4 linked regions of the Neurospora crassa OR74A genome follow. The protein of the gene in region 2 interacts with the protein of the main gene of each other region in a biochemical or structural test. Links are inferred from orthologs where the notes say so. Each region holds a gene or a part of one and is shown on either strand. Other genes may lie near its edges.

Region 1 (7,972 bases), on a different chromosome or scaffold from region 2:
CGAGTACCTCGACAAGCATGTCGATGAGGGCTTCGAGCAGTTCATTGACGACCATTTCGAGGGTACTCCCTTCATCACCGAGCTCTTCAAGACCGCTCATAGGTTCTACGTCAAGGAGCGCCTGCCTGTCATTCGCAAGGCGCTCAAGCTTGTTGTGGCTTACAACCTCACTCTTCACATTACCATGGTTGAGCAGCCGCCGACGGAGCAGCCCATGGAGGGCCAGATCGATGACGAGGATTCCAAGTACTTTGGCAAGGTTGTCGCCCCTGTCATGATCAATTTCCAGATCAAGTGCGCCATGGCCGATATGTGGCGTGAGCTCCAGAAGGAGGTCCTCGAGGAGCTCTCTGCTCTCTACTCTTCGGTCTACAGCGGAGAGCGTCTCAAGAACTGGCCTACTATCTTCATGCTGGCTGCCATCCTCTTGGCTGTCTGGGAGGAGATCCAGTTCGACTGCCATTACCGTGTGCCTGACCCTATCGCTGTCAACAAGTTCTGTGACGATATGGAGTCTACTCCTGTTGGTGTCATTGTTGGCCTCTTCCACGCCATCTCTCAGAAGCTGCCCGCCTTCACGGAGTGGGATACTCGCAGGCATGGTCAGCTGCTTAATAACAACGTTGCCGTCTGCGAGGCCATGACCGAAGTTAGACAGCATGTCCTCAAGCATGGTGAGTGATGACCCCTCATTTAATGTCAGCATGGTGTGACCCTACATACTAACCCCGCGATAACAGAATCCTACCTTAGGACCCGTCAAGAAACCAAGTTCGACCGCTATGACTTTGACTCACTATCAAACAAGTTCCTGTCGAAGCTGGTCATTCGGGCCAACTAAGGTTGTTTTCTTGCTTGCTGCACTCTGCCTCTTTTGGTTGCGATACCCGTTATCCACGTTACGGTTACAGCACTTTACAGCAAAGCTCGCAAGAGCTGGTCTGTTCCGGTTTCCTGTTTTCCTCTTTATCCTTATCTCATGGGGCCATTGAGCGACGGCGTTCTCATCTTTATTTCATTATGGCTACTATTTTCTATAGTCAACCATCTTCTCCCTTTTTCTGTTATCTTTTGTGGCATTTTTTTTGGCCGCGCACACTCACTTGGTGGCTGGTCACCACCGCGAACAACACGATACGAAATGACTGACGTCCCATCATGACGGATCAATATTTGATGAATACACATTTGACGAAACCCCAACGAATCTACACAAAACACACCATACACTACTACGCATACATCGCAAAAAAGTTAAAACCAGCACGATCTGCATGTCTGGCACTTTTGATAGTTCAGTTGGGAGAGAAGAAGTCGCTCACGGGAAAAGGAAGGGCATGGGATGAAGGAGGGTAAGCGAGTGGAAAGGGTTGTTTGAAAGGATCGAAGAAAAGCACAACTCAAAGGGGAGGAAGAGGAGGAAAATGGGTTTGCATTGGGTATCTTGGCGTTTTTTTTTGTCTATCTGATTTGGTCTTTTTCTTTTGGTTTACCTACATATAGATATGGATTGATAGGTGGACTTTCTTGCATAAGCGCGCGCGGGCAAACCGCGACCTAGGCGAGAAATCCTCTTTTTGAGAAATATTTATTGGTTATTGTTAATGAGTATTAGGCTGTTCGAGTGCTTGTTTTGGTGTGATGTTGTTGAGTGTACTACAGCAGGCAATGTTCCCTCATCAGAGAAAAACGAAGAGAGTGGTTGTTTGTTTAAGGCCAACTTTCATCCACAAGTACACATTACCTGGTTCTTCACAGGTTGTCATGGAACCGACTATGGGAAGGGCCACAGAGCAAACGAGTTCTCGAGTCTTGTAGAGTTGCCTTGGGTTGTGTGTACTTGTTTCATTTCAAAGACGCAAGTCATTACCACGCAAAGAAAGCCGTTGGCTCGTTGGTTCTGGATGAGTGGAAAAATGCATTCCAACTCTTACGATAGAGCCTAGGCCAGACGAGTACATAAGTACTCAAGATCAATGAGTGAGAAGGATTGCGAACGGCAACCAGGCACCTGCATTGAACTTGGTTCACTACACGCATTGACAATAAAAAGTATCATGTACACCAATCTGATGACGTTCAGGGTTGTCATTTGATCATGGGATGTCACAACCCGAGCCGAATGGGTGTATTGAACGGACCGTAAGGACGATTCCCGCATTTGCGAAGACGGGAGTTGTAGGCGTGACTGCGCGGGAGTCCCCGGGATCCCGTGCAGGAGGTGATGCCGGCCCCGGTCTCACCCGAGGTGGTTGGCAGGCCTAGTAGCGGGCAGGGCGGAACTCGTCACTTGGCTCCAGGAGTTTGTGATGTTGTGCTGCACAGCTTACCTCCCTCTACTGTACATATTACACTCGTGCGTAAAGGACCCAGCATTCTGATCGATGATGGTAACTCGCGATACTATGGATCATGCGTGAACGGAGGCTAGAGACCGTCAATAGCGGAGCGACCCTCCTAAAGTGCGGGGCGGTGGAGCCAAGAAAGAGGCCACGATAATGCTGGGCGATAACGGGAGGAACGGAGTCACGACATCATCGGTCGGGGGCTGGTGGGAACCCTTATGGCCAGGCACTGCAGTCAGGAGGTCTCCCATCTGTCACCGGTCTTGAATCCTTACCGGCGTCAACAGCCACGGTCGGTCGGAAAGCCGATAGAAAAGCGAAAGAGAATACCTGGTAATAGCTCCCCGTTCCCGTCCGGTTCAGTTGTCGGTGTCCCGCCATGAACACGGAGAACTAACGAAGCTCATCGTCGCACCAGACGGAGCGCTTACCTCAGCAGCCTTTGCAAAGGTCGGTGGAAGAACCAACCGTGAGTCCGTGACACCAGCTGAGCATTCTGTGGTTTACAGTGCCAGCTGACTCGCCCCTTTACTGTCTGGAGCTGAAACGATGCCTGGCCGGGATGCACCTCCCGTCCGGTTGTTCTTTCGTTCGACGACCAACACCTCGACCCCTTTGGTGACACTCTTTGTGGTGTTGGTTAAAGACAAAGTCACAGGTCTCTTTGATTTTATATACTCATCTTCATGTCTTCTGGTCATTTCCTCCATTGCTGGAAAATTGCGATCCAACCGTTCACTCTTCCCTGTTTGCCTCTCGGTGCCCTCGATCGGACCACGTCATTGACCGCTCACTTCGTTGGGGGGTTCGCTTATCAAATGCGGGGAACCAGCAAGGTGCACGTCGGTATTCCATGATGCCAGCTGGACTGCTGCTGTGTGAAGCATCGAGCAAGAGGCCATCAACAACCTGATAGAGGGAACAATTATAATAACATGGAGAGAAGCTTGTCAAGATGCTGGCAAAGTAACGAGAAGTCGAGATGGCACTCTCGGATTTGTAAACAACTGAAACTCGAAGGTCCGTCGTCCAGCCACATGCAGATCATTCTTTGGCTTATTCATCCAGAGAGAACCTAACTGAAGCAGGGCAAACAGCCCGGCTGAGGTGACTGACGCATTGACGGGCAAACGGCTGGGTGAGTGCCCGCCACTGCAGAAGGCGTTGACAGTGCGATCAATCAGCCGCGGTCACTGTTGGGGGGGATGTCCAACCACTCCTGCCAACGGGCAACAGCCAACAGTCAAGGGGGAAACTGTCGTCTGACTGGCTTCTTCTCGCGCCTTCCCTCCACTTCTCTGTCACTCCCAACCGCCAAGTGGCTTGTGCGTGGCCTGTCAGTGAAGGTGAGTGACACACCACTCACACCGTGGCAGGCGTTGCAAACGGACCAGTGACGATCGACTTGGGACCTGGCACCTTTCCGCTTCCACTCCAGTCCCGTCACCTCTTCCCCTTCACTCAGCCCCCCCGCTTCGCTTCCCTTTCCAGGCAGTGGAAGCCTGGCCCCTCCAAGTTCGCCATCCTGATTCCTGCCACTTCCGCCGCAGCCAGCACCTGAACCTACTTATTTAATCCTCCCCGCCCATCTGCATCCCCGATTCCATTTCTTCCGCTTTCACCATCTCTCTCCATCGCCATCATCGCAGGAGTGTTCATCCACGCACATATCATTCCCGCCACTCGATTCTAGTCATTTCGCTTCATCCATCAACAGTCCATTCGTCCACTGCACAACCCCCATCATGCAGATTTTCGTCAAGACTTGTAAGTTATCGCACGCTCACCGCATCATCACTTTACCATCGATCGACCGATGCTAACTATCTCTTCGCAGTGACCGGCAAGACCATCACCCTCGAGGTCGAGTCGTCGGATACCATTGACAATGTCAAGCAAAAGATTCAGGACAAGGAGGGCATTCCCCCCGACCAGCAGCGCTTGATTTTTGCCGGCAAGCAGTTGGAGGATGGCCGCACCCTTTCCGACTACAACATCCAGAAGGAGTCTACCCTCCACCTTGTCCTCCGCCTGCGCGGTGGTATGCAAATCTTCGTCAAGACTCTTACCGGCAAGACCATCACCCTTGAGGTGGAATCGTCCGACACTATCGACAACGTCAAGCAAAAGATCCAAGACAAGGAGGGCATTCCTCCCGATCAGCAGCGTCTCATTTTCGCCGGCAAGCAGCTTGAAGACGGCCGCACTTTGAGCGACTACAACATTCAGAAGGAGTCTACCCTTCATCTCGTTCTTCGTCTACGCGGTGGTATGCAGATTTTCGTTAAGACGCTTACCGGCAAGACGATTACTCTCGAGGTTGAGTCTTCCGACACCATCGACAACGTAAAGCAAAAGATCCAGGACAAGGAGGGTATCCCACCTGATCAGCAGCGTCTCATTTTCGCTGGAAAGCAGCTCGAGGATGGTCGCACCCTCTCCGACTACAACATTCAGAAGGAGAGCACCCTGCACTTGGTGCTCCGTCTTCGTGGTGGTATGCAGATTTTCGTCAAGACCTTGACGGGCAAGACGATTACGCTGGAAGTCGAGTCTTCGGATACGATTGATAACGTGAAGCAAAAGATCCAGGACAAGGAGGGTATCCCGCCTGACCAGCAGCGTCTGATCTTTGCTGGTAAGCAGTTGGAGGATGGCCGGACCCTCTCTGATTACAACATTCAGAAGGAGAGCACTCTTCACTTGGTGCTGCGCCTCCGTGGCGGCCAGTAAGCGGATTGTCGTCTTTGTTTCTGATTCTTGATGACGAGCAAGGGTTCATTTGGGCGTTCAGCGTTTATTGGGTTACTTATTGCATCCATGGGTTGGGAAATGATGACAACCATGAAACAGGGCATATCTAGCCGAATCTAATGGCACACGCTTCATACATACAGCGATGCCATAATAAAGACTATATTTACGGTCTCAAACATGATGTCTCTTGGTGATTTGCTTGTGTCTCAATTCGTGAGCTTTTGTTATTCCCGTCAACCTGTCATCTGGTCAATTGGGGATGGAGTCGGACGTGTAAGTCAAGATGGTGGTGCAGTGGGTTGGTACACACCGTGCGAGGTGACCGTTGCGTGGCCGAAAGTGGCGCCCTTTTTTGGTGGACAAGATGCATCATACGTGAAAGATACGTACCGACCGCCGAGTTCAGTTCGCGCTAGTCCGGCCGTGGAGCCCTCCCTCCCCCCCTGTGAAGGACGATCCAACGTCCAACGTCCAACGTCAAGTTCGTAGTTGTGGAAGGTTGAATGTGAAGAGGACATCCGGAAGGACCTCTCATCCTCTCTAATCACCAGGGCAAGAACCATCACTGCATGGAGTTTGGGCACACATGAACCTGCAGAGATAGGCATCGGCGACTTGATTGACGTAAGGCCCGCGTCCAAGGTGTCTTAATCGACTCTTCATCTTCTTGATCCTTCTCTGTCCTTCTCTTGCTCTTCCACTCTTACAGTCAACGCAATACTCTCAATATTACACTTTCATCAGATTTTTCATCAAAGCATTGTTGTTTCTCGACCATCACAACAAGGAATCATTTCTTTGCGACCATACCATGAATATGCCATGCCTGTCTACCGCTATCATTTGAAGTTTGAGCTCTACCCCTCGCCAGATCCGACGCATAGCGCGCCCGCCGCAGCATTCCACCCCGATATCTGGTTACCTACCAAGGACTCGTCCATATTTGACGAGCTCCCCGCCCACCCTCGTACCTGGCAGCTCAAATCTTTGTCTTCAAGGCCATCGTCCAGGAGGAAACAGAATCGAGATATCATCCAAGGAGAAGGGCAAATCGAAGAGCAAGAGAAGAAGGGCCATTCGGAGAAAATTCCTCGAGCCTTGCCAGAATCGCATTTGGGACTTCTCAACGACAGCTCAGACCCCGAGGCGGAGGAAGGGACGGAAACCGGCGGAGTTATCGATTGCGGGGCATCCAGACCAGATTGCCAGAACCCCGAAGACAACAGGAACATCGTCAGGCTTTCAGGCAAGCAATCGCGCGCGACTTCTCCTCCGCCAAGATTCACGTCTGGGCTAGGGCCACGGACGGCAGCTAAGGACTGGCGCTTTGGAAGGATCAGCATCGAGAGCCTTGATCTGCCACGGGACGGGCATCTGCAGCGACACGCACAAACCGCGGCGGAGGACAATACTCAGAAGAAAGGCAAAGGGAAAGACACCCACAGCGCCACTGCTGGAACTGGAAAACCGGTAGCAGCCAAGAACAACAAGTCAGCAATGGCTGAGTCACTGAAGGATCAAGGACAGCAATCTCAACAAGAGAAAAATGGCAACCAAGAACGTGCGTCCCACGGTACGCCAGCGGCTTCTCTAGGCCCGAACCTCGGTGGCATGGGCCAGGCCACCAAGGGACGATACATACCCCTCGAAACCAAAAACACGGAGGTTGGGTGGGGCATCGTCCATCTGTACCGCGAGGCCGATGAGAGCAGTGCTCTTCGCGCCGGGGTGGGTGCAGGCAGCGCCAGCGGTAGCAACGGAACTGCTAGCAGCGGTGACGACGGCACTATTCTTTGCATCACTGCCGTTCCCATGTACATGAGTCCGAGTGACTTCCTGGGCTTCATAGGAGAAAAGTGGCGCGATGACGTGAGCCACTACAGGATGATCATGACGAGCAAGCTGAATCGGTACATGGTTTTGATGAAGTTTAGGGATCCGCAAAGGGCGAGGGATTTTAGGGTTCAGTTTAATGGGAGGCCATTTGACAGTATCGAGGTGAGTGACTCCTGGACTACATGATTTCCTGGCGTTGCTAATGGCAACTTTCTCGAAACCATAGACCGAGTTTTGCCATGTCGCCTACATCCAATCCATCACCGTGGAATCACCTGGCGGCCAGAAAGGTTACAGCACGATCACGAGCAACGCGGGCGGAAATGGCAACCCAGTCGACACCCTTCCCTCACCCAGCAACACCCTCAACCTGCGACCCTTCCCTCCCCCTACCCCCAACCTGATCGAGCTACCAACCTGCACTGTCTGTCTTGAGCGTATGGACGATACAGCCGGTCTCATGACCATCCTCTGCCAACACGTCTTTCACTGCACTTGTCTCCAAACCTGGAAAGGCTTCGGCTGCCCTATCTGCCGCGCAACCAATCCCAAGCCTACTGCAGAGGAAAGCAACCAGGAAAACCCGTACTCGCGACCCTTCGGCTCGGGACCTGTATCTAACCTCTGCAGCGTCTGCGACGAACCTTCGGACCTCTGGATCTGCCTGATCTGCGGCAACGTTGGGTGCGGCCGGTACAAGGGCGGTCACGCCAAGCAGCACTGGAAGGAAACTGCCCACAGCTTCAGCCTGGAAATGGAAACACAGCACGTCTGGGACTATGCGGGCGACATGTGGGTGCACCGCATGATCCGCGAAAAGGGCCAGGGCAAAGTGGTCGAGTTCCCTAGTCATCATATCCACAACAGCAACACATCTTCAGAGCGCAACAACACCGCGCGTGCCCCTGCCCCGGCATGGAGCTCCCAAGAAGAGACCATGGCGGCGGTTACGGGTGCGCCTCTACCCCATCCCCCGGTACCCGAAGACCAAGAAGTGGTCCCCCGCGCCAAGCTGGACAGCATCGGGCTCGAAT
Region 2 (7,560 bases):
GGAGTGAAGCCCAAAGGCTCGCACACACTGTTTGACTCACCTGCCCAGTTCTTCCGAGGCCGCCCCCGACCTCGTCGAGTCGGAGCGGCAGGTCCTACAATACCATGTTCGAAATGGGCATTTTCTGGGACGAGATTGCAGGGCAGGCCGAAGCGGATGCAATTGCTACATGGCTTCTCTTCGTCGCACTGAGGGAGGTCAGCAAGAGTCGAGAAACGGCGCTTGTAAAAGGCGAGAAGCATCTTTGTGTGTTGTGTAGGTAACGGGTGAAAAACTGACCTTGACTTTGCGGCGTTTACAAGAGCTACAGCCGGTGCGTGATTTGCGGTGAGGTTGAATGGACTTTCTGGTCGATGACGACGCCGCCATTTCTGCGAAAGGTGGCTAGAGCACAGTAAGTTGAGATTGGGTGTGAATTGATTTTTCGGATCAAAGTGCGAAAAATAAAACCCGAATAAAGGGAAGCCCTTGAATGGAGCTGCGGCGTCTGCGAAAGGAGGCTACAGTAAGTTGACATTGAGGTGTAATGGATGGTTGGCTGTGAATTTTTCGGATCCAAGTGCGAAAAATCAAAGCCGAATAAAAGGGAAGCCCGTGAATCCACATCTCGTGTAAGTCGCCCGCCCCACAGCCCACGACGCAGTTTCGTCTGAGGGGGCTGTGAGCATCCAAATGGAATGCCAGGGTACCGTCTGTTCAGATCTTGATCAGCACTGAAAGTAATGCGATTCACCTGTCTCTCGACGGTATATAACCCCCCTCGAGGAATGACTTGCCCTGTATTTGTTGTGTTGGTCATGTGTTCCGTTATCAAGCAAAGGGCTAGCAGCAGCTTTTGATATCCCTTTCCGTCTACTCCCAAACCTGGCATCTCTACTACCCTCCCCAACTCAATGACGCTTAACGATGGCCCGCCCTTCGGCCCTGTGGTCAACGGGACCATGGTGGTGGTCTTTTGGGAATACCGACCCAGCAACGTTGCCGCGCACCTCTTTCTCGCCTTGTTCGCCTTGGCCACCCTCGCGCACCTCGTCTACTTTGTCTGGCTCCGGGCGTGGGGATGCATTCCCCTCATCCTCGGTGGCATCTGTAAGCCTTCTCCTGTCTCTTCCACCTCGCAATCTCCCTGACCATCCAACCCCCAAACAACCAGGCCTCGTCTTCGGCTACCTCGAACGCAGTTACGCCCACTCCGACCCCACAAAGCTCGACCCCTGGCTGCTGCAGAACATGCTCCTCCTCGTCGCCCCTCCCCTCCTCGCCGCCTCCCTATACATGTCCTACGGCCGCATCTCCACGGCGCTCCTCGAGGGCACCTCCAAACCCAACCACGGGCGCCGTAACAACCGCGGCTGCTGCGCCCGATGCTGTTACTCCTGGTACCGCCCCATCATCATCTATTTCCCCGACCCCCCGTCACTAACCGCCCATTGCCAACCAACCAACAGCTTCTGCACCTGCTCCCCGACGCGGCTCTACGTCCTCGCCGACGTGGCCGCAATCTTCACCCAGCTCATCGGCACCGTCCTCCCCGCAAGCGGCACCGAGTCGGCGCAACGCCTGAGCAAGATCATTGTCCTAATCGGCCTGTGCGTCCAGCTCCTCGCGCTGGGTATCTTCCTCTTCACCTGCGGCCGCCTACACGTGCGCCTGCACCGCAACCCGACCAGGTCACGGGCAATGCTGATGGACCCTGGGGTGAGATGGCTGTGGTATTTTGGTGTGATGGAGGTGGCGGGGGCTATGTTGGTTGTCAGGAGTGTGGTGCGCGGGGCCGAGTATTTGGGGGGAACGGACGGGGTGGTGGCAAGTCATGAGTGGTTTGTCTATGTGTTTGATGGGGTGCCGATGGGGGTGGTGATGGCGGGGTTTTTGGTCTTGTATCCGGAGAGGGTGGTGAGGGAGGTGAAGCGGCAGGAGGGAATTTTGAAGGGGGCGGGCATGGGAGAGGAGTTGAGAGGCGGGGTGAAGGGGGAGTCGTATCCTGGGGGCGATGTTTACGTTGGGGGTAGGTGTCACTAGGTTCCTGTGGTAAGTAGTCTCTATCACTTTTACCCCCCGTCGACATCCTTCAGCGGACCCGGCCCACAGAAATGTGGGTCTTCTGGGGGTGGGGTGGGTTTTAGTGTAGAGGTTAAGTGGGTCTAGTCCGGATGGACTACAAATGTCATACAGAACACAGGGTAAATTAGTAAAGTAGGAGAAAAGAGTGCCTGTCATAATATATCCATCGGCCTTAACATGTCTCTGGATTTGGCTTCTTCATCCCACTCAGTTGAGCATCCCCAGGTATTGGTGGCTGCTGCTGCTGTGACGTCTCCCACTGCCGTTCCTTGTCTGGAGTCCCGGGAATGACTTGTTCCCTCATGGCGGTATCCTCTGCTATAGCATCCTTTCCAGGAGCTTGCCCGTCGTGTTCTGTATCCGCGTCATCCACCTGCCCCGGTCGTGGTGGACTTGATGGCGGGACAATATCCATCCGTGTTGGCGCTGCACTGCTTTCCCCCTCTCTCGCTTGTAGTGTCGGAAGTTCAGCTGGGCCAACATCCTCACCCCCACCCCCACCCTTGGTATCCGCCTTCTCCCCATTACCATCCAAAGTCTGCCTCTTAATCCCCTGCCGGGCCTGCTTGATCAAATCCCCAAAACTCCCTCCATACCGAGTTGCCCAAGCTTTGCCATCGAACTCCTTGTCCTTGATCTGCGCTCCAGTAGCTTGCGCCCTCGCCATGAGTCCGAGTCCCTGCTGCCCCCCTCCTCCTCCTGCTGCTGTGCCGGGATTCCCTACTGTCCGTTCCCATTCGTCTAGATCGCGAAGTAACTCGGACCGCTTTTTGGGTCGCGAAGAGTCGCAGTTGGCGTTCCAAAGCGTGATCCACTCCTTGTGGCGCTTCTCCAAGAGCTGGCGAGAACCGTGGGTGGAGAGGCCGAGTTCGGAGAGTTTCTTGCGCAGGGCGGTGTCGCGCAGCATGGAGTAGGCTAGGGCGGGGAGGCGTTCGGGTGGTTTTTGGTTGGTTTGAGATGTGAGGCGGGTGTTGAAGGATGGAAAGGTCGATGGCTGTGGTGTTTGAGCGGGGATCGGTCGTCGTTTGGATGCGGCCTGGGGAGAACCGGGACAAGAGGTGTCGAGGTGGCGGTCGACTTGCTGTTCCTTCATGCGGGTGAGGCAGATGGGGCAGGCTACTAGGCCGTCGTCTGGTGGGAGGTCAGTGATGATGATGATGATAGAAGCAACCCACGAGGAGCGGGAGGAGGGAAACGAACCGGGTGGTTGGTCGACGTAATCCGGGTCGGCTGAAGGTGTGGTGTCTTGCTCTTCTTGTAGTATTGCCGCTGTCAACTCGGCGGCTCGGGCTCTTGTTGATCTGGTTGACCTCCTCGGCCTCTTGCTTTCTGGGTCCTCCTCTTTTGGCCCCTCCATTTCGGTCGCCTTTCGTTTTGATGGCGAACTGGGGCCTGCTTGGTCTGGCAGTATCGCCTGAATGGTCGGTGGTGTCCTAGCAAACTCGAGAAGGACTTTGCGGGAGTTCTTGAAGGCTTCTACGGCTTCGCGCAAAGCCCAGTTGCCTCTGAGCTTGGATTCCTGGTCGGTGGCGCGACAGAGCGGGCACTTGCTGTCGACGGACAGACATCTTCGGATGCACAAGGAGCAAAAGGTGTGATTGCAGGATGTGAGCATGGGAGAGTCGTAAAAGTCCTTGCATACGTGACAGCGGAAAGCCTGTTCGACGGGCATCAGGCATGCGAGGGGCGTGCCCAGCCAGTCGGTCGAGTCGGGGACGTTGAAGGCTTCATCGCCAAAGACGTCCATGATAATGTCGGTTGTACTGAAGGGTATCCGAGTACTTTGTTGGTGGTGATGGCTGCCTTCGTTCTACCTGGAAGCCTGGAAGTAGTATTGTAGAAGAGACGGAAGATGTGAGACGCGATGTCTGCAAGTCGGACGAGACTGGTCGCGACTTTGTCGAGGAGGAGAATTCCATTACACTGTATTTACACAAACTGGCCGAGGGTCAGCAAGAATACCGAAGAGTGACCCGGGTATCTAGCACTCGGGATCTTTTCCCTGGGAATTGCTCTTTCAGTTGGTGTTTTTGTTTCAAGTTAAACATGGCTCTCTGAACATCTGCACTGCCATTATTCAACATTTACAGCTCTTTGTGGCCAACCTCTTACTTGCAGACCTTTGATCTCTCCATGACGGTATTGATTGTGCCCACGATACGGTAATGACAGGGCCTGCACGTGAATTGGCGACGGGAAGGCGTGCAGCGGGGGTGTGTTCTGGGGCCTTCAGTTTCCAGGCACAAAAGCGCTGCAACAGTGCAGTGGAAACAGAAGCCCCACCTCTTCGCTCCCCTCAGCCCAGACTATTCCCTTTTGGGCATCAACCAAAACAAAGACTGGAGCGGATTGGGTACTAACAATTGAAACCAAGACAAGGGAATTTGCTCCGGCAACAGGAACTCCATCCCAGGTCAGGTCAGGTCAGGTCTCCGATCCCTCGCTTTTTACTTGGTTTGTTTGACTTTGACTTTCTCTTTGTTGCTTTGACTCGATCGACGCAATCCCGTCATCCCTCCGACAACCACCATTATACCACATCGCCAGCCTCGTCGCCCACCTCCCTCCCTTTCTTTGACCAACTAATCATACCAATGCTTTGAACATCTCACTTGTTGCCATTCCTTTCTTTTCCGATCATTGCTTGGGGGTTTTTTTTTTTTTTAGAGCTTTCCCCACATCCCCAAATCCGGTTTGTTGACTTTTGGCGCCAAAGTAAACAAACAGCAAAAATGGCGATGCGCAAGGCACCACGTCTGCCCGTCGGCTCGGCAGCGTGGGTTGCAGAAGAGCGCGCATCGGCGCTCAAGGTGGCAGAGGAGGAAGTCGAAGAGTTCTCGTATGCGGCGCGCAATGAGATGGACTGGCTGAACGAGCACATGGAGGACATTTTCTTGGGCGAGAACCAAATGTGCGTTGTCTTTGTTTTATTTCCCTCTCTTTGTCTCGCTGACCAGGAACAGGAACATTGCCGAAATCTTCAAAACGCCAGCACGACCACGAGGCAAGACACCGCGGACAATTCGCAAAGGGCCCAATACCGAAGTGAGAGTGGTAAGCATCCAGACAGCGTCCATCATTCTTCTGCGACGGGCGACCAAGAGTGATTGATTGATTGATTGATTTTGTTCTAACCCACAGCAGCCCTTGGCCAGCATCTTCTCAGCGACGCCCAAGGGTGTGACACCTAATCCCTTCGTCCTCGCGCCGCCCGCGAACAACTCGTCATGGACGCCCAAGATCAGGCCCGATACGCCGGAAGCCGACGTCGAAGCTGATGACGAAGCCGATGATGTCCCCAAGAATCCCACGACTCCCTCGACGCGCCGTGCGAGCCCGCGAAAATCAGCTGCCGCAAAGTCGCCAAGCCCAGTCAAGAGCGTTGCCGCGCCATCACGACAACCGAGCCCAGTCAGGCCAAACAACACCACGCCCATGCGACCACCACCCGCAAGTCCAGCAAAGCCAGTTGCCGCTACCCCGTCCAAAGTCAGAAGCCCAATCAAACATCTCAATGGCTCCCCCCTACCAATTCTTTCCAAGTCGCCTACCCCGGTCAAGCCCTCTGATTCTGGATACTATGGCAGTCAACAGCTGGATATTATGGATGTGGACGAGGTCGGAAAGGTTGCCGATGCCAATGCCAATGCCGATGTCGATGTCGATGTCGATATGGGAGAATCAGCACACGAGCCGACCATGGAACTCACTCAGCAGTCGGCGCAGGAGCTACCACAACAACAACCTCCACAAGAGCCCACACAGGAGCAGACAGAGGAATCAATACAGCCGTCAAATGAGCTCAACCAGGAACCGACGCAGGAGGAACCAGAGCAGCAGGAGATAGAGTCACAGGATCTGGGGGTTCAGCCAGCCCCCACCGAGCCGGAGCAGCACGCCAGTCCCGCACCACAGGAGACGGCCGAACTACTACGAACCACAACACCTTCAGAAGAACCTGTTGAGCCTACCGTTCAATACCCTCGACTTCTTTCGCCCGAGCCTGATGTGATTAGGTCTAGCAGCCCAGTCCACATGCTCATTCCGTCGCCCACCAGGTCTATCCATGCGCCCTCCCCCCAAAAGGCTGCCTCGCCTCAGAAGCTCGCATCGCCAGAAAAGCGCCTTTCCCCCGAGAAGAGGGTTTCCCCGGTCAAGGTGGCCTCTCCCCAGAAGGATCCTTCACCAGAGAAGATTCCCTCCCCCGAAAAGACTCCGGAGCTTGAAAAGGAGGAATCACCTGTGGATAGCGCTCCCGTCCTGTCACCAAAAAAGAGATCGCCAGAGACAGAGCCAGTCACTGAACAGCAACCCAAGACTCCGGCGCCCTTTGTACACGCCCAGTCAGAGAAGGATCATGCGGACGACCAGGCGGACGACAAGGTGGACGATGACGCCAACTCGTCCATGGAAGCCTCCAGCCCCATTAGCCCGGTTAAGCGCCTGAGCAGTCTGAACTTTGCATCACTTCCCGCACGCGAGCCGATGACCTCTAAGAAGAGCCTCGGTACTAGGATGTCGAGGACGAGCCACGTCGACGTAACGCGAACCTCCTTCTACCATCGCCAGACGGGAGGAAAGAGTCTTGGCCATACTACCCGACAGGATTTCGATGATGACGACGATGAGATGGACATTGATGATGATCATACCCAGGAACCCAGGACTGCCAAATCATACACGCAGCGATTGCAGGATCAGATCAACATGTTGGGCAAGGGACAGTCAATGGGACCGAGACCATCGAAATCGATAGCCCACCTCTTGCCGACGCAACAACACGCATCCACTTCACAGGCACCGACGACACAGCCCGTTCCGGAGCCCACCAGATCCTCACCCAAGAAGCCACCCGTGGTTACTCCCAGGGCATTTCCCACACCGGGAGCATTCCCGCTGGACGATGATGACGACTGGATTGGACCTCCTAGCAAGGGAGCGGATATGTCTACCCCCATGGTGTGGAACGCGCGCAAAGACACACGGTTAAGTCAGCCAATGGAAGGAATGAACTTATTCGCAAGGGAGGCATCTCCGACCCTTGGAGAATCCTTCATGGAGAACAGGCACGAGTCACCAAGTAAAGCGCCCATCATCCAGGAACCACCTGCTGCGTCTTCCTCAACAACACATGTCAAATCGGCTTCTGTTCCCACGCTACCCAGTTTGCACGAGCCTCCCGTGCCAAAAACCGCCAGCCCCAAGAAAGAGGCATCTGTCTCTACTTCCAACCTCCCCGAAATGCCAGCGCACGAACCTCCTTCGCCCTTCAAGTCCCCCTCCAAGGCATTCCGCGAGAACACGCTGGAGAGGGTCAAGAACAAGTTTTCGTCCCTTATGAAATCATCCAAGGGACTTCTCCCAACCAGTGCACATTCAAATGCCGAAGCAAAACTGACGGGGCTCTTCACGACTCCCTCAACTGCTCGACTGGAAGAACATCCCAGTTTATCCGAAGCTTCCTTCAAGACAGCCGATAATGTCGTCTATCCTGAT
Region 3 (7,158 bases), on a different chromosome or scaffold from region 2:
TCACGGGGTCCAGCACCCAAAAGAAAGATCCAGGCTTCCCGCGCGCTTGAGCCTTTTCCTTAAGTTCTTTCGCTATCTCCCCCACGGCTTCCAGCGCTGGAGCACCGGGGACGTATCCGGACAGCATCATATCAAAGTCATCGAGGTAGGACTGTTTGAGACCGCGGTAGAGGTCGGTGATTTCGGAAGCGGACACGCGCGTGCCGGTGAATTGGCGGTAGCCCGTATGGTTGCTGAACTGCACCGTGTTGAGGGCGGCGACGTCGCAGCCAAGGGATTGCATGGAGAAGACGGCGATTTTGTTGCCTACGTAGCTGAGGGAAGACACATTGATGTTAGCCAATGCCTTTCTCTTCTTCTTCTTTTTATTCTTTTCCCTTTCGTCTCGTCTCGTCTCGTCTTGTCTGGTTGGGGCTCGGCTGTTCTAGTCGTCATCGGGGGAGGCCGGCGCAAAGCTTGTAGGTAAATCGGAACTTACCCAGAGACAACCTGAACACTCCCAGTCAGCAATTGATTTAACCTGGTATTAATTGAAAAGGAGAAGTAGACTTACATGGCTGGCGACCGCCAACACGCGGGTGTCGGGGACTGGAGGCTCTCCGTCGCTCATGGTGACCTTGGTAGAGTACTTTGTATGCGATTCGGCTTTTGGTTGTTGTAGAGGAAAGATCGAGCTCGAGACTTGTTGTAGAGACCTCCTTCGTTCGAATTGGTTATGTTCGGTAGATGTCCTACGACGTAGAGTGGCGGCGCAAAGGATCTCGATCGTTGGTAGAGAGAGGTACGTAAGCCGAGTAAGCCGAGCTGGCGATTCAACGAACGGTCTGTCAATTCGGTGATATAAATCGTCTCTGTAAAAAATAGTCGGCCGCTTGAAATCTCGACGATATGTTGAGAACTGGTGCCAAAGTTAAACGATGTAGAGAATGTTTGTTGTTGTCAAAAGGAACTAGGTCTGTCTCGAACTCGCAGAAGAAGTCCGAGGAAGGACTGCCAGTGGATGATCACCGGGTCAAGAAAAGATGGAGGAAAGATTCCGGAAAAAGAACTAAGCAAGCAACACTGTGACACACCAAGTGAGTCTGACTCTAGACCTAGTCAGTCAGTCAGCGGTGAAAGAAGAAGACCGTATATAGCCGAAAGATTCGATCAATTGGAAATAGTATCATCAATCAAATAAACTGCGATATCGCCCTCTCGTGCCACCCATTTGCCCACATCTTGATTCGAGTCCTCGAATGGTCCAGAAATTCGCCGCTAACGGTCATGGCACAGGGCCGGCCAGTCAATGACTCTTTTTTTTTTCCCCAGGAACCACCCATGCCCCGCCAAAAAGTTTCCTGCAGGGCGGGTTAGGGGCAACTTGAATGCGGAGTCCATTCAGCTGCTGGGCGCGCCCCGGGCCCTGGGCTGTTGTAGGCGGGAGGGGACGTCACGCAGGTGGTGGGTAGGTAAGTTACATACATTGAATGAACAATGTGGGGAAGCTGGTGAACACCAGGAACTTCATCGGATGAAAAAAAAAAAAAAAAAAAAAAAAAAAAAAAAAAAAAAAAAAAAAAAAAAAAAAAACAGTCGGGTGGAAGATTTCTGGAAAACACGCCGACTGACGGGAAGTGGTGATGTCAGTACTGGTGTACTTGTGATTGAACCCACTTCTGAGATACCTACTTTCAACGCCAAGCTGAACTCCCGAGAAGCGATGATTACCATAGTGATACAGGGAGGACAGTTTGCCGATATCAATGTTAGAAACCATCAGACAAAAAAAAAAAAAAAAAAAAAAAAAAAAAAGGAAACGACAACAGCATCGGGTTCCTTGGTGAAGGTGTGTTGTTGGAGGCCATCGCAATAATCATTGACACCTCGTCGTCTCCCCTAAACATTCATCTTCGCAGCAGAAAGAACAAAACGCCCTCTAAAACATTTGTGTGTAGTGTACTAGTGCCAGACTCTTTCAAAAACACAGATTTCTTTTTCTTCATATCCCTTTTCTTCTTCTCATCACTGCATCACCCCTTATCTTCTACATGACTTGCAATTCTCCTCCTCCCCATGATTTTATAGCAACTCGAGGTATACATGAAGGCATAGTTTCGTGGTGTTCGTAACAAAGATGTGGTTCGGTTGTTGGAGGTAAATGGGGCGTTTACTCCTCGTCGCCAATCTGTGAATCAGAACCAGTTAGCATCACGCCTGACAGAAAACAACCACCCAGAAAATGACAAACAAAGACATACCTTGGGCGCAAGATAGAACCTCAAGTAGCTGCTAGCCGAAATGTTGTACTCGACCAAAAGGGGCACCTCGTTGGAGAGGCAGATCTTGACCGTGCTCGACAGCGCGCTCGCCTTGCAAAAGTTGACCAGGTACTTGAGCGAGAACGTGAGGGAAACCGGCTCGCTCAACTCAATCTCGATATTCTCGCTGGGCTTATCAACGTTGGTGTGCTGGCGGAGGGTAATGCTGCCGTTGCCAATGTCGCCCTGGCAGCTAAACTTGACGCCGTCCTTGCTCGCCTCAATGTTGACGCTCTCGCTCATGGCCATGAGGTCGGTGGTGATGCGCTTAAACTCAGAAGACGGCATGCTGATGGTGGCCGCGTACTCGGTATCCGGAATGCCCAGGTGCTCCTGGTCAATGTCCATGAGCTTGAGGTCGTACTCGGAGATACGGTCGTTTTCGGAAGATTCGAAGACGAGGTTGAGCACGTCGGGCGCGTCCTCGGCCTTGAGCGTCAGGATGTCCTCGTTCTGGGCGGCGCGGAGCACCTTGGTCAGCGACGTCAGGTTGACGCCGAGCGCAATGTTGCGGTCGCACCGGAAGGGCGAGAAGGTCTCCGTCTTGAGCATCATGGACACGAGCGCGACGTGCGAGTTGTCCATGGCTTGCAGGGCGATGCCCGAGTCGTTGCAGTCGAAGTTGCAGTCCTGCACGAGGTCCTTGATGGCGTCGACGACCTGGACATCATCGTCATCATCATGACAGAGTTAGTGGGGGTCTTCTAGCTGGGAAAGGAAACAGACAGCACTTGACAGGAAGAGGACATGACATACCTTCTTCAGGATCGACGCCTGCTCCAACCGTGCTTCAAGCATTTCTGTTGTTGTGGTAGTCCTCCAGTCAGCAACCCATCACTCCAGTTCTCCAGCTTTTCTTCCTAGTGCCGGGCCAGCGAGCAAGCGAGCAGGCAGCTTCACGCTCAGACAGAGACGACATACTGATGGATGTGAATTACCGAACTCGACGGGGGAAAAAAAGACAAAGAGGGAAGAAAATATGCGCGCGCTGGGTATCACTTTCGGGAGAGAGAGGCGCTCGTGGTTTGACGAAGAAAGAAGAGAGAAGAAAAGATTTGGATTTGGGAAGAGTTATGGTTTTGTTCAAAAAGCTGCAACAGGCAGGCAATGGACGATAAAAAGAGAGGAACCACCAATACCACAGGTGGTGCCGGGACACCCACTTCGCGACTTGACGCGCCTGCTAATGGCAGCTAAACGCGCTGAGCCGGGGTTAGGCTTAATTGATTTACCGCTTCAGGCTAGCTCCCGGTGCACGGTCCCGTTCTCCAGCGCTGTTAGTCCGCTTTCAGGCGCAATCTTCGCGTTTTCAGTGGGAGCTGTCGCCCTGAATCCCCTCTTTCTGTTTGGATCGTGTCTCGACGGCAATGTCGAACCAAAGGTATGCTGCTCACTTCAAGTTCCGATGATATGACTTCAACTATTCGACTCCCTCATTTCTGCGCGAACTCTGTTCTACCTCCATTCTCCAATATATTTTGATTATTACATTATTTCACCTATCTTACACCCTCCCCCAACTCAAAAAAGAATTTGTTACAGAATGCCCGCCCAAGATCGTCTGTATAAACTGTGTAAACGCCGTTAAATTCTGTGTCCCACATTGCTCGCTTGCCTGCCCCAGCTTTCAAATGTTCCCATGGTCTGTATGTCCGTCAAAACGCCATTCTACCCAAAGTTGTTGTTGTTGTTGCTGTTGTTGCTTTTCAAGAAAACTGGCAAGCTGACCTTCTCGTCGTTGTTGTTCGCCCCTCTCTTTTGTCTGCGCGCAATGCCTTGATGCCATGTAAGATTATAGTGGTCAAAGAAAAGAAACCCGAAAGAAAGACAGCGCGAATGCCGCAGAGTTTGTCTGTCGTCATAAAGAAATCCTCGTCGGCGCCGCACTCCTGCCGTTTCCCCCGCCTGGTCCCATGGTTGTATGTCTCTTCGGCCTCAGATTAATCACCATCTCCAACTCCTTCAACATGCCCCTACTCGCTTCCGCCTTCTCTCTCTGCATTGCCCTCATCTCTCTCTCCTCTTTCATTTTCACCAATCTCTCTTCCCTGGTCAGCATACTCCTGGGCCGAGCCGATAGCGCAACCGCCTCAAACACATCCGGCTCGTTGGGACTTGGCGAGGAGTTTCGTGTGGGAGACGTCTCCCCGGTGAGCGCTTTCAGCGCATCCTCCGCTCCGCCGCCGGTTTCGTTCTCTTCGCCGACAGTGGTCAACCCGCTTAGAGAGGTAGCAGGCGAGTACAGCATGCTCATAGACGAAATACGTTTCTCGTTGCGGTCGATTCCCGATGCTAGGGCAGCCTTGCCATCCTCCCAGGCTTGCTGCAGCATCTTGAGGTCTTGGCCAATGGACTCGTATTGCGACAGGAGGTCGAAACCAACTTCAGAGATGTCGTCGGCTTCGTTGAGTGCTTTCTCGGATTCTTCACGCAATAGTGCCAGCTTGGCTTGGAGACCGCGGATGCCCGTCGATAGAGAGTCGAGCTTGCGGAATTGCGTTCGGCGTTTCTCGCGGTTGGGCGAAAGAGGGAACTTGGTTTCGGGGATAGCGGGGAAGCCTGAGTGGTTTTGTTAGCTGTTGTGTGTTTGTAGTGTGCAAGAATACGGGATGAAACTCACTCTCTTCATCGCTCAAGATGAGACGAAGCCTCTCGTAGCAATCACCTGTCAGACTGCTCAGCTGGCTGAGACACTGAGCCGCCGTCGACCACCGCACAAAGTCGCTGTTATCTCCCGTAGCCTCAAACGCAAGCAAAGCGCAGAGAAGCAGCTTGCGGATGGTATGGAACCGAGCAGCGGCAATTTTGAGCACCCGTAACGACTCCGCCTCCTCCGTCGCGACCTCCGGAAACCCTTGCATCGCATCGGAAACGTCAAAGTCGGTAATGTCGTAAACGTCGTAGTACTTTTCCAGATCCAACTGTTCCGAGAGTCCCTTCACCGCTGTCGTCACTTGGATGTAACTCTTGATCATATCGGCAAACCGCTGCTTGAGAGCCTTGCGCAGGCGTCCGCATCGTCTCGTTTGGCTTCGGTCTTCGATTCTGCTGATAGGCGGTAGTGGTGCGCTCCTGGTTATTGTTAGCCGCAGTTAACCCCAATATCCTCCGGAAGACCATACTCACAGCCTATACCCCCTCGACACCAACTCAACCTCCTGAACAAGCGACAGCGCCGCACTCGTAGCACTATCCCAATCCTGACTCTTCGCCACAAAAGTAGCAACCTCTGCCAGCGCCTTGTTCCGCACATATCTCAGCCACTGCTTCCGGATATAAAAGTGCGCCACCAATCCCACCGCAACGGCAACCACGACGGCAACCAGCACCCCCTTTTTGGTCAGACGAGCATATCCTCCCAAACACAACCACCTTATCCCCAACGCCACCACCAACGCTCCCGCAGCCGTCGCAACCAGCCCCGTCGAGTTCGGTAGTACGACATCGTTATTTTGCTCTTTCGAACTATCGGCATCCTGATTTCGGTAAAAGTGATTAAGTCCAGCAACCGAGTGCCCACTCAACAACTGCGAAGCGACGATCGTATATCGGAACTGCTCGATGAATTTCTGGTTGTCGGCGCGGTCTATCCTCGCTGTTACGGCTTTCTTTTCACCACGAACAAACGTCATTAGTTCAACACACATGGCCCCTATGATTTGAGCGTAAAAGATCCTTACAGAATAGGAGTCATGTAGCGAGCCGAGCGAGCTGTATCGCTTCATGCGGTGTGGGATCTCGAGTTGTATTGGCTCAGGGGCGTTCTTTCGGAACCGCTTGCGGACCATGGGGCGGCCTACGGGAGCGAAGTTGGGAGAAGAGGGGGGTGAGATGCTGTGTTCGGAGAGGCGGTCATCGTGGGCATCGTGGAACTGGCCATTGTGGTCGGACTCGGAGGCTGGCGGTGTTGGCCAGTCATTGTTGCGTGTTTCTTCGCCTTGATCTGTCATGGCAAGTAAGTGATGCTGTGCTTTAGAGATGGACAGTGAGTAGGTAAGCGAACCCTTGAGATAATTGGCAAGAGGCTCGCAATCCTGAATTACGGTCTCCATGGATGCCACTACGACCGGACAACGACTCGGACAATGATGGGACTCGGACAAGAGAACGGAAGAGGAGCATCCAACAAAGAAACGGGAGGTCGATATGTGGTGCTAGCTCTCCATCTGACGCCAGGCGGCACTCTGAACAAGGAAGAAAGAAAGAAAGAGGAGTGTGCTTGTCCCCTTGTTTCGACGGAGTACAGATACCAGGCCGGCGGCACCACGCAGTTTCCTTGTTTCAAGTCCTGGTTCCTCCTTCGATCGTGTTTAATGTCCGTTATTCTGCAGAGCTAAAGCTAGGCGTGGGTCGGTGTGGCTGAGATCTGGGAATCGGTGGGTTTTCTGGGTGTCGCTTATGCTATGCGAGGTGGTCGAGACGTGCGAAAGCAAAGTGCGGCGCAAGGTGGAATGTTGGAGTACCTGAGTAGTGTTGGTACTAGCGCTGTCGGTTATCGGTGCATATGCCCTTTTGTCTTTGTTGTTCCGACAAACGTTGTCAAGATTCGATCGATCGTTGGTTTATCGTGGTCTATCGTGGTCTGGATGGTTGTATGTTGTTGTCGATGTTGAAAAGGAGTGTCAAGGTTCAGTTGGAAATTGGTGTAAGTGACTAGTACAGTAAGTACTACTGATGACCGCTTGAAACGGGGTCCAGGTCGTACGGGAAACGGGCAACTGGCGACGTCCGAGCCTTGAACGAGCGAGCGGCTGGCGTTGTCCAAAATGAGAAATTGTTAATTGTGACAAGTGCCAATACTAGTGGAATGATTATCAGTTATGGAAGCCTTTTCTTCTCCGTGAATTTAGTGTTTCTC
Region 4 (7,298 bases), about 3.7 Mb from region 2:
TTGATCTTCTTTGCTTCCTCCAGCGTCTGACCACTGGCACCTGTCTTGCCGACTTTTTCGGAACCAGCCAGATCGACCAAGAAAAGCTGACCGCTCTTGGCCGAGCCCGTCTCCACGTTCTTCTGGGTGATGGTGATGACGAAGATGGAATGCGAGCGCGACGACTCCTGGTTCATGTTGGTCGCAGCCACAGCTCTTGCGTTGCCACCCCTGCGCATGACTTCGTATACTTCCTGGACGCTCGAGACGTAGATCTCGAGCAGACCCTTGACGTAGACACCGCGGTTCTTTTCTTCGTGAACTGGCAGGTTGTCGTTCTGAGGCGCCAAAAGATCACGGATCCGCTCCATGTAGATTTCCATATAGCTGACCCGGACGGTATACTCGATGTTTGCTGCGCTAGACAAGATGCTGGTAAAGATTTGCTCGACGATTCTTGGAATAACACCTCTGCCATCAGGGTCATCTATACTGGTACCCATCATGGTGTATGATTTACCGGCACCCGTCTGGCCGTAGGCGAAGACAGTACCGTTGTAGCCATTGAGAATATCGTCGACGGTAGGCTTGATCGAGAAATCGAAGATGTCGGATTGCTTGCATGACATGTCAAACACCCGATCAAAGGTGAAGGAACCCTGCGCTTCTTTCGACTATGGGCAAAAACAGATGGGTTAGCCACTGCGGTGCGACTGCATTCAGGCGCGTGAAGGATGTGACAAGGCAGGCACAAGGGCATTGTGAGGTGCGAGAACTAGGGGGCAGAAGAAGTTGCTCACATCGACTGTACAGGTATCCGGGCCCTGGAAGGTGACGATGGGCTGGCCGCCGGACTCGATTTCGACCCTGTTCTGGGGCCTAAATCGAGCCACGACCTTGATACTATTCGCACTTGACGACATTATGGCGATTCCCTTGCAGCGCTGGGTAGCGCACTGTCATGAAAGGCGGCGCGGCCGATGTTGTCGGGGAGGATGGGTGGTGGAGTGAGGGGGAGAGAGGGGGGGGGAGAGGGGAGATGGACAAGGAGCCCGGCCGCCTGCAGCAGAGAGATAGAGAAGCAGGGTCTCGGTCAGTCGGGGTCCAGGTGTCTCTCCGAGTTGGATCCGGATATCACAAAAGGTGACGAGTTCCGGTTAGGCGCGTGTTCTCGTCGTCGTTTCCCTCCTCCGCGGTCCGTCGTGAGCGGTGGTTGTGGTGTGGTGCAGTTGCGGTGCGGTTCGCGGCTGCGGGTGCGGTGTGAAGAAGGGCAAAAGGTGAAGGTGGGCTTCAATGTGACACACTACTCGCCCGCCGAGGCACGTTGGCGTTTCGTTAGGTAACTGAACCCCTTTGGGCCGCAGCGATGGAAGAAGACAGCAAACCTAAAGCTACCTATGCAGAGCAAAGCAAAGCAAACCTTGAGGGCTAGGCGAAAAGGCGAACGTGTGCAGAATGTGCAAAAAGGGGCTGAAAGGGGTATCCGCAGCTACTGTCGCCGCCGCCGTATGTTCTCGTCGAGATGGAAGGGCAGGAAGGGGTACTCATCACACGTGTGGTCGGTACCCAAGGCAATTTAAGGGTCTAGAAGAAACCGAACAAATGTCGAAACGCGATGAAGATAGTGGGGTCTTGTCGGTCAGTGCAGAGTCGCAGCCTGAGACGCAGTCTGAACGGTGCGCAGCCAAGGGCGGGAGGGGTCCTGAAAGCGAACCGCTGCCAGTCGTCGCCAGTGGACGACTCCCGTCGGTTGTGCCTGCTGCCCCTGTCCCTTTACCTAACAACCGGAGCGGGACGGCACTCGGGGCGGCTGGTGCTGCGAGGCGGACTGCGAGACCAGTACCTTTACTTACCTACCTCTACCTCTGCCTCTACCTCCGAGTGTAAGGTAAGTACCTGCCTGAAGATTGAATGCCCGTTCGGCCAATACTCTCGGGTGCCATGGAGGAGATATTTTCATCAATTGTAGAAATATTTCAAAGCTTCAAACAGGATTGGGGGAGGCTCCGCCCGAGGGTACCTACCTCTAGTGTACATGGAAAACCCCAATCTGAAACCCATTCCCTGAGGTAATTTGATCGCACGTTTCTAGCAGACTCAAGTGGCACAAGTATACAAGCCAGTATTCTTGGAGATGCCCGCCCCCTTTCCTGCTGTTCGAGTTGCCTATGGCCATTTCTTTGCTCTTTTGGGTAACTTGCAATCAATTTTCAAGATACCTCTCTACGTTGTCAATTCGAGCTTTCAAGAGGCTACCGCTCGCTGTAGGTAGAGGAGCCTAGCCAAGTTCAGCTACCCACAATATATAAACAACCTCACCCCTCATGCAGATCATACGCAAAGCGTCAGTCCTACAACATAAAATCGTACCTATGCAAGTTATGAGAAGTCTTCCAAAAGAGCCATGTAGAGCTGGGTAAGTCGGACCAGGACGTACCATACAGACTTGAGAACCTTGTTTCCAGATTGCAGGGTTAAAAGTGTTCGGAAGCCACGTACACTAATGCTCTCTGACGGCCGCCAAAAGCATCTGACAGCCCTTTAACCCTGCGTTTTCTGGGCATTTACGATAGAGGTAGTCAGCCTGTCTTTCACTCTCACAGGGACCCTTGCATCCAAGGTATGCCTGTTAACGTGAGCGTGTATTAAACAACGCCGCAGTTCGAAATGTGCACGCTAGACTTGACTCTCAGCCTTAGGTATAGGTGATATAAATCATGTGGATGTAAGGCACCAAGCGGGGTCATGTACACTTTCGTCAAAGAAACAGAGGAAAGCTGAGAAATGCAAGACTCTCTGGAAACTCGTACATCTAAGCCGGCCGACATAACATGGTGAGCTTTTTGCAATGAAAGACACTATGCCATCTCTTCATCTCTAAGACAAAAGAAAAGAACGCTATCTAGGGCTTTTTGGGGTGAGTTGAGGTATCCAGGGACTGCCCTCGCCAGATGTGCTTGTGTTGGTATGATACGAGCGCCTAAACTCCAAACCCGACAATCGCCCTAAAGAGTGAGAAAAACCAAGCACTCCCGCTCTCTCCATTGCAGACAAGCAGGCTGACTCTCAGCCATCAATAGGCGAGAGATGCGGATATTTGAAATACAACAAAAACGCCCCGAAAGAACGACGCCTCCCAAATGCAATGTAATATCACGACATCCGTTCCACCCTCACGCCCTAAAAGGCCAAACCGCCGGGTATCCTCGAATGTGGATCATCTCGCAACTCGTCGTCGGTCGACAACTGACTGTTGATATAGCCAAGAGATCTGTATCGAACAGCCCAGTGAGCAATATCAACACCGACTTGCAGCACCCAGATCAATCATTGGCTTTTTGCCATTGAGGGCCCCGTGGTGATAAATGTCGTCACTATTCAATCCTCCCAGCTCTTCTCAACAGTTTCCCGGACCCTCTTGTGGTATTCTTTGCGGTTGTCCTTGTATAGATTGGAGGCTTCGACGTTTGCAGGCGATCCTGTGTTCGGGTCATTGAGCAAACTAGTCAAGACAGTTTTGTCAGCATAATAACACAACGCAAAATGAACGTCAACAAGATATTATGCAGTCGTACCTCTGAATACTGGTAAGAACAGCCGCGACGTCGTACGTAGGACTCCAGCGGTTCTGAAGGATATCGAGACAAAGTTCGCCAGTGGCGTAAACATTGGGGTGGAACATCTCGCTGATGAACTTGACCGAAGGAGGCTTATTGGGATACTGCTCCTCAAAGTGCATCACCAGGCGGAAGGTGCCATCTTCGAAGGGCGTATCGGCGGGTCCGATGATCACGGCGTTCCTATATGGAGACTCATGTCAGTCATTGCCATGCCGGGGGTCGACCGCCCATAACGACACCGCAGCAAAGATCGTTCTCCTTACCATGTCATAACATTATCGGGTACGGGAGAGGCGGAAACACCAGCGGGAGGATCGGTTTGCATGCGCTGTCGAGGAACATGGTGAGTATATTGTGCTCATGGCGGCCAAGTCATCAAGCGGTGTGAACCCAACGGGGTGGCTCATGATGTCTCGCACCTTGAAGTCTCGCATGAGCCGGCGGCGGGCAGCGGTTGACATTTTGGCTTTGGTGATGGATGATGAAGTCGGCCCAGGCGTATGGAGAGAAAGCTACAAGGTTGATGGAGTACGTAGGATCGATGCGATACTTTGTTCGAAGTCGAGATGGGTTTCGTGGTTGGAATAGCGAAGAGACAATCAAACGAACTGATTTGAAGGGGCGGAGATGAATGACGGAAACCAGCAGAGCCAACAAGTGAACGCGCATTAACGACCGCTATCTTATCATACCCAACTGATTGCCCGGAGGGGGGCGTCACAAAGAAGCTAGGAGAACGCGCGCCGAGGGCAGGGGCAATGAACAGTGACTGCCCCGGTTGACAATTGCCGCCGGATTGTTAATAGCACTTTTCTGATTCTCGGCCAATTACACTTGGGTATGAAGCGACTGGTGGCTCGTGCGCGAGGTGACTGCCAGCTGATGGAATGGGATCACACAGTCACACACCTTCTCTCACGCCACCGCCGAATGGTTGTCCAGCCAAACATCTAACTAATCGAACTGACAAATGAATCCCAAGAAAACATCAGAAATTGTAGCATGACAGCCAATTGTTCGGGTTGAATCAGTGATTTGATCAAGCTGTCTCCTGTGGCATCCCCCGGCAGCTGCCCGAAAACACTTCAACGCCGCAATAGGATCGTTGCTTGGAACCAACGCAACATCTCAAACATATCGCGTTGGGAAGCTCGGCTTTTGTTCCCGCGTGTAAAGTGGTTCGCTTCTGCCCAACATCCAAAGACGCGCGCGGGATGGCAATTGCAGGGACAACCGCGACTGGGATAGATTGTTAAGTGATGCGAAACGACTCTTGAGCGTGCAGTGCCCTGGCCTTTTGATCCCTGATTTTATGCGGGCAGTATCCGGTACAGCTAGGTATGATGCCGGCGCTGGGCAACAGGAGGCTGCGGAAAGAGTGAATGAACTGCTTGGAGAGCATCCACCCCCGAATCGATCCGTTGACCGTTTCCCCTCCGCTACGGCTTCAACTCTGGCTCCATCTGATGTTTCTCCATCCGCCCGTGGGTACGGCACTCATGGGCTCATGACCCAAGCAGGGCATTCTTCAGTTGTTGTGGATGAGGAGCTTCCCCTGTCGGTCAGCGGCAGGCTCCACGGGAAACCCCGGATACCAAGCTTCTGTGTCCCTTGCGCCCGTTGGGGTCCCCGCGGAGGAACCACGGTGGCGGCCACTGTTTGGCGCTCAATTGGCGGGGTGAAGCATCGCTTTGGTGTGAATCCTCTCCACACATGTACCGTCACAAGCCGACCGGTGCCATCATGGCATCTGACAAGTTCCGAGGAAAAGAAAGCGGGAAGGAGAGGAAGAGACCACCTAGCTATCGCCTCCCCAACTGGTAGTTTTATTAATCATTTTTAAACAATAGAAGAAAGTCTTCCCTGTGATTCTGTCCCTACTCCCAATTATTTCCTGCTCCTGTTTTTGTGTTGCCTCTCCTGTTGTGCTGTTGTTCATTCCCCGTTCGGCCATCTTCCTTTCTTCCTTCTCGCCAGATTCCCCTCCGACATCTGCGCTGTGCAGTACCGCCCCTACGTCCTGTAACTCATCGTCACCAGCTTCCGACATCAGAATGGTTCTTAGCCACGCCAGGACAGCCGCTGGCTCGGCTTCGCGCACTTCCCGTGTCGCTTGCGCTCGTCTTTTTTCCACCCAGTCTGCTCTCCGCCAGCAGATTCAGGATGCCTACATTCTCAGTGGTGTGAGGACACCAACGGCCAAGGTAAAGCGCTCCGTAAAATCAGCCATTTCCACAACACAGCGCTTGTGCTAACGTCTGCCAGTTCAATGGCTCTTACACCACCGTTCCTGCTCCCAAGCTCGGTGCCGTTGCCATCAAGGAGGCCGTCAAGAGGTCGGGTATCCCCGTTGAGAAGATCACCGATGTCTACATGGGAAACGTCCTCCAGGGGTCTGTTGGCCAGGCACCTGCACGCCAGGCCGCTATCTTTGCTGGCCTTTCCCCCAACGTAGAGGCCATTACCATCAACAAGGTGTGCGCTTCCGGTCTCAAAGCTGTTGTGTTCGCGGCGCAAAACATCCAGCTTGGCCTAGCGGAGGCCCAGGTCGCTGGTGGTATGGAGAACATGACAAGGACGCCGTACTACGTTCCACGCGCTAGCGGCATGCCCCCCTTCGGTCACATCAAGATGGAGGATGGCATTATCAAGGATGGGCTGACCGACGTCTACAACGAGTTCCACATGGGCAACTGCGCCGAGAACACTGCCAAGAAGTTCCAAATCTCTCGTGAACAGCAGGACGAGTATGCCATCCAGTCGTACAAGCGCGCCCAGGAGGCTTGGGCTTCCGGGAAGTTTGCTGAGGAAGTTGTCCCGGTCACCGTTCCGGGCAAGAAGGGTGACAAGATCATCGAGGTGGATGAAGGCTACAACGACATCAAGCTGGACAAAGTTGCCACCCTCAAGCCTGCCTTCGTCCGCGATGGCACCGGTACCGTGACGGCCGCCAACGCCTCCACCCTCAACGATGGCGCCAGTGCTTTGGTTCTCGGCAATAAGTCGCTCGCGCAAGAGTTCGGCAAGGGCTCAAGGGTCCTTGCCCGTATCGTCAGTTCAGCTGATGCCGCTATGGATCCCATCGACTTCCCTATTGCGCCCTCTAAAGCGGTTGAGCTTGCCCTTAAGCGTGCCGGCATTAGCAAGGACCAGGTTGCCATTTGGGAGTTTAACGAGGCCTTCGCCGCGGTCATCAAGGCCAACGAGAAGATTCTGGGTCTCGAAGGCGCTGTGGTGAACCCTCTTGGTGGCGCCATTGCCCTTGGCCACCCCTTGGGTAGCTCTGGATCCCGCATTCTCGTTACCTTGCTTCATCAACTCCAGCCTGGCCAGTACGGTGTAGCTGCTATTTGCAATGGTGGAGGTGCGGCCACTGCGATGGTCGTCCAGAGGATCGAGTCGGTATAACCGGGAACATTGTGGAGTTGCGGATGGGTATTTGATGAATTTTTGTATAAGGATGAAGATTTGCAAAGCTTTGGAGTTGGTTGGGCTTTCTTTCATGTACAAATGGTATGATGCGCTGCCAGAAGCAGGGCCAGTCTGCACATAGTTACAGCTGCATCTTGTTGGGTCAAAGCGACAGAATGTATTTGAAGAAGTAAGGAAACTGCAGTGCCATGTTGTGAGCTTGATGATCTGGGTGATGCTGTAAATCCACAACTGAGCATATAAGTAAACGTGACCAAATTCAACTCG

Evidence for each region.
Region 1: the proteins of uvs-2 (region 2) and ubi form a complex in vitro, tested with the Saccharomyces cerevisiae proteins (2 studies listed by BioGRID). The link is inferred for Neurospora crassa OR74A from reciprocal best matches to the Saccharomyces cerevisiae genes RAD18 and UBI4.
Region 3: of the proteins of uvs-2 (region 2) and pcn, one has a biochemical effect on the other in vitro, tested with the Saccharomyces cerevisiae proteins (11 studies listed by BioGRID, with this or other methods). The link is inferred for Neurospora crassa OR74A from reciprocal best matches to the Saccharomyces cerevisiae genes RAD18 and POL30.
Region 4: the proteins of uvs-2 (region 2) and mus-8 form a complex in vitro, tested with the Saccharomyces cerevisiae proteins (12 studies listed by BioGRID, with this or other methods). The link is inferred for Neurospora crassa OR74A from reciprocal best matches to the Saccharomyces cerevisiae genes RAD18 and RAD6.

The regions. Positions count from the first base shown.
Region 1 is NC_026506.1:3,141,954-3,149,925, forward strand, and holds ubi (ubiquitin), read left to right. Parts: upstream 1-3,090; 5' UTR 3,091-3,365; intron 3,366-3,433; 5' UTR 3,434-4,090; coding exon 4,091-4,112; intron 4,113-4,182; coding exon 4,183-5,078; 3' UTR 5,079-5,630; downstream 5,631-7,972. Other genes in the region: NCU05996 (C6 finger domain-containing protein), read left to right, coding at 1-674, 741-841; NCU11215 (RING-10 protein), read left to right, coding at 5,925-7,100, 7,165-7,972. UniProt on the Saccharomyces cerevisiae protein: Ubiquitin exists either covalently attached to another protein, or free (unanchored).
Region 2 is NC_026504.1:5,738,411-5,745,970, reverse strand, and holds uvs-2 (postreplication repair E3 ubiquitin-protein ligase rad-18), read right to left. Parts: upstream 3,988-7,560; 5' UTR 3,812-3,987; coding exon 3,265-3,811; intron 3,196-3,264; coding exon 2,237-3,195; 3' UTR 2,178-2,236; downstream 1-2,177. Other genes in the region: NCU05208 (hypothetical protein), read right to left, coding at 41-188, 280-369; NCU05209 (hypothetical protein), read left to right, coding at 894-1,089, 1,154-2,022; NCU05211 (hypothetical protein), read left to right, coding at 4,797-4,975, 5,028-5,118, 5,209-7,560. UniProt on the Saccharomyces cerevisiae protein: E3 RING-finger protein, member of the UBC2/RAD6 epistasis group. Associates to the E2 ubiquitin conjugating enzyme UBC2/RAD6 to form the UBC2-RAD18 ubiquitin ligase complex involved in postreplicative repair (PRR) of damaged DNA.
Region 3 is NC_026501.1:9,444,694-9,451,851, reverse strand, and holds pcn (proliferating cell nuclear antigen), read right to left. Parts: upstream 3,458-7,158; 5' UTR 3,222-3,457; intron 3,101-3,221; 5' UTR 3,099-3,100; coding exon 3,057-3,098; intron 2,961-3,056; coding exon 2,241-2,960; intron 2,168-2,240; coding exon 2,150-2,167; 3' UTR 1,795-2,149; downstream 1-1,794. Other genes in the region: NCU10351 (pyridoxine kinase), read right to left, coding at 1-314, 479-489, 554-610; NCU09240 (hypothetical protein), read right to left, coding at 4,159-4,859, 4,921-5,372, 5,427-6,250. UniProt on the Saccharomyces cerevisiae protein: This protein is an auxiliary protein of DNA polymerase delta and is involved in the control of eukaryotic DNA replication by increasing the polymerase's processibility during elongation of the leading strand. Involved in DNA repair.
Region 4 is NC_026504.1:1,992,493-1,999,790, reverse strand, and holds mus-8 (mus-8), read right to left. Parts: upstream 4,384-7,298; 5' UTR 4,061-4,383; coding exon 4,019-4,060; intron 3,928-4,018; coding exon 3,863-3,927; intron 3,780-3,862; coding exon 3,555-3,779; intron 3,482-3,554; coding exon 3,358-3,481; 3' UTR 2,669-3,357; downstream 1-2,668. Other genes in the region: kin-1 (kinesin heavy chain), read right to left, coding at 1-653, 780-902; NCU09732 (acetyl-CoA acetyltransferase), read left to right, coding at 5,654-5,803, 5,865-7,007. UniProt on the Saccharomyces cerevisiae protein: E2 ubiquitin-conjugating enzyme that accepts ubiquitin from the ubiquitin-activating enzyme E1 and transfers it to a E3 ubiquitin-protein ligase.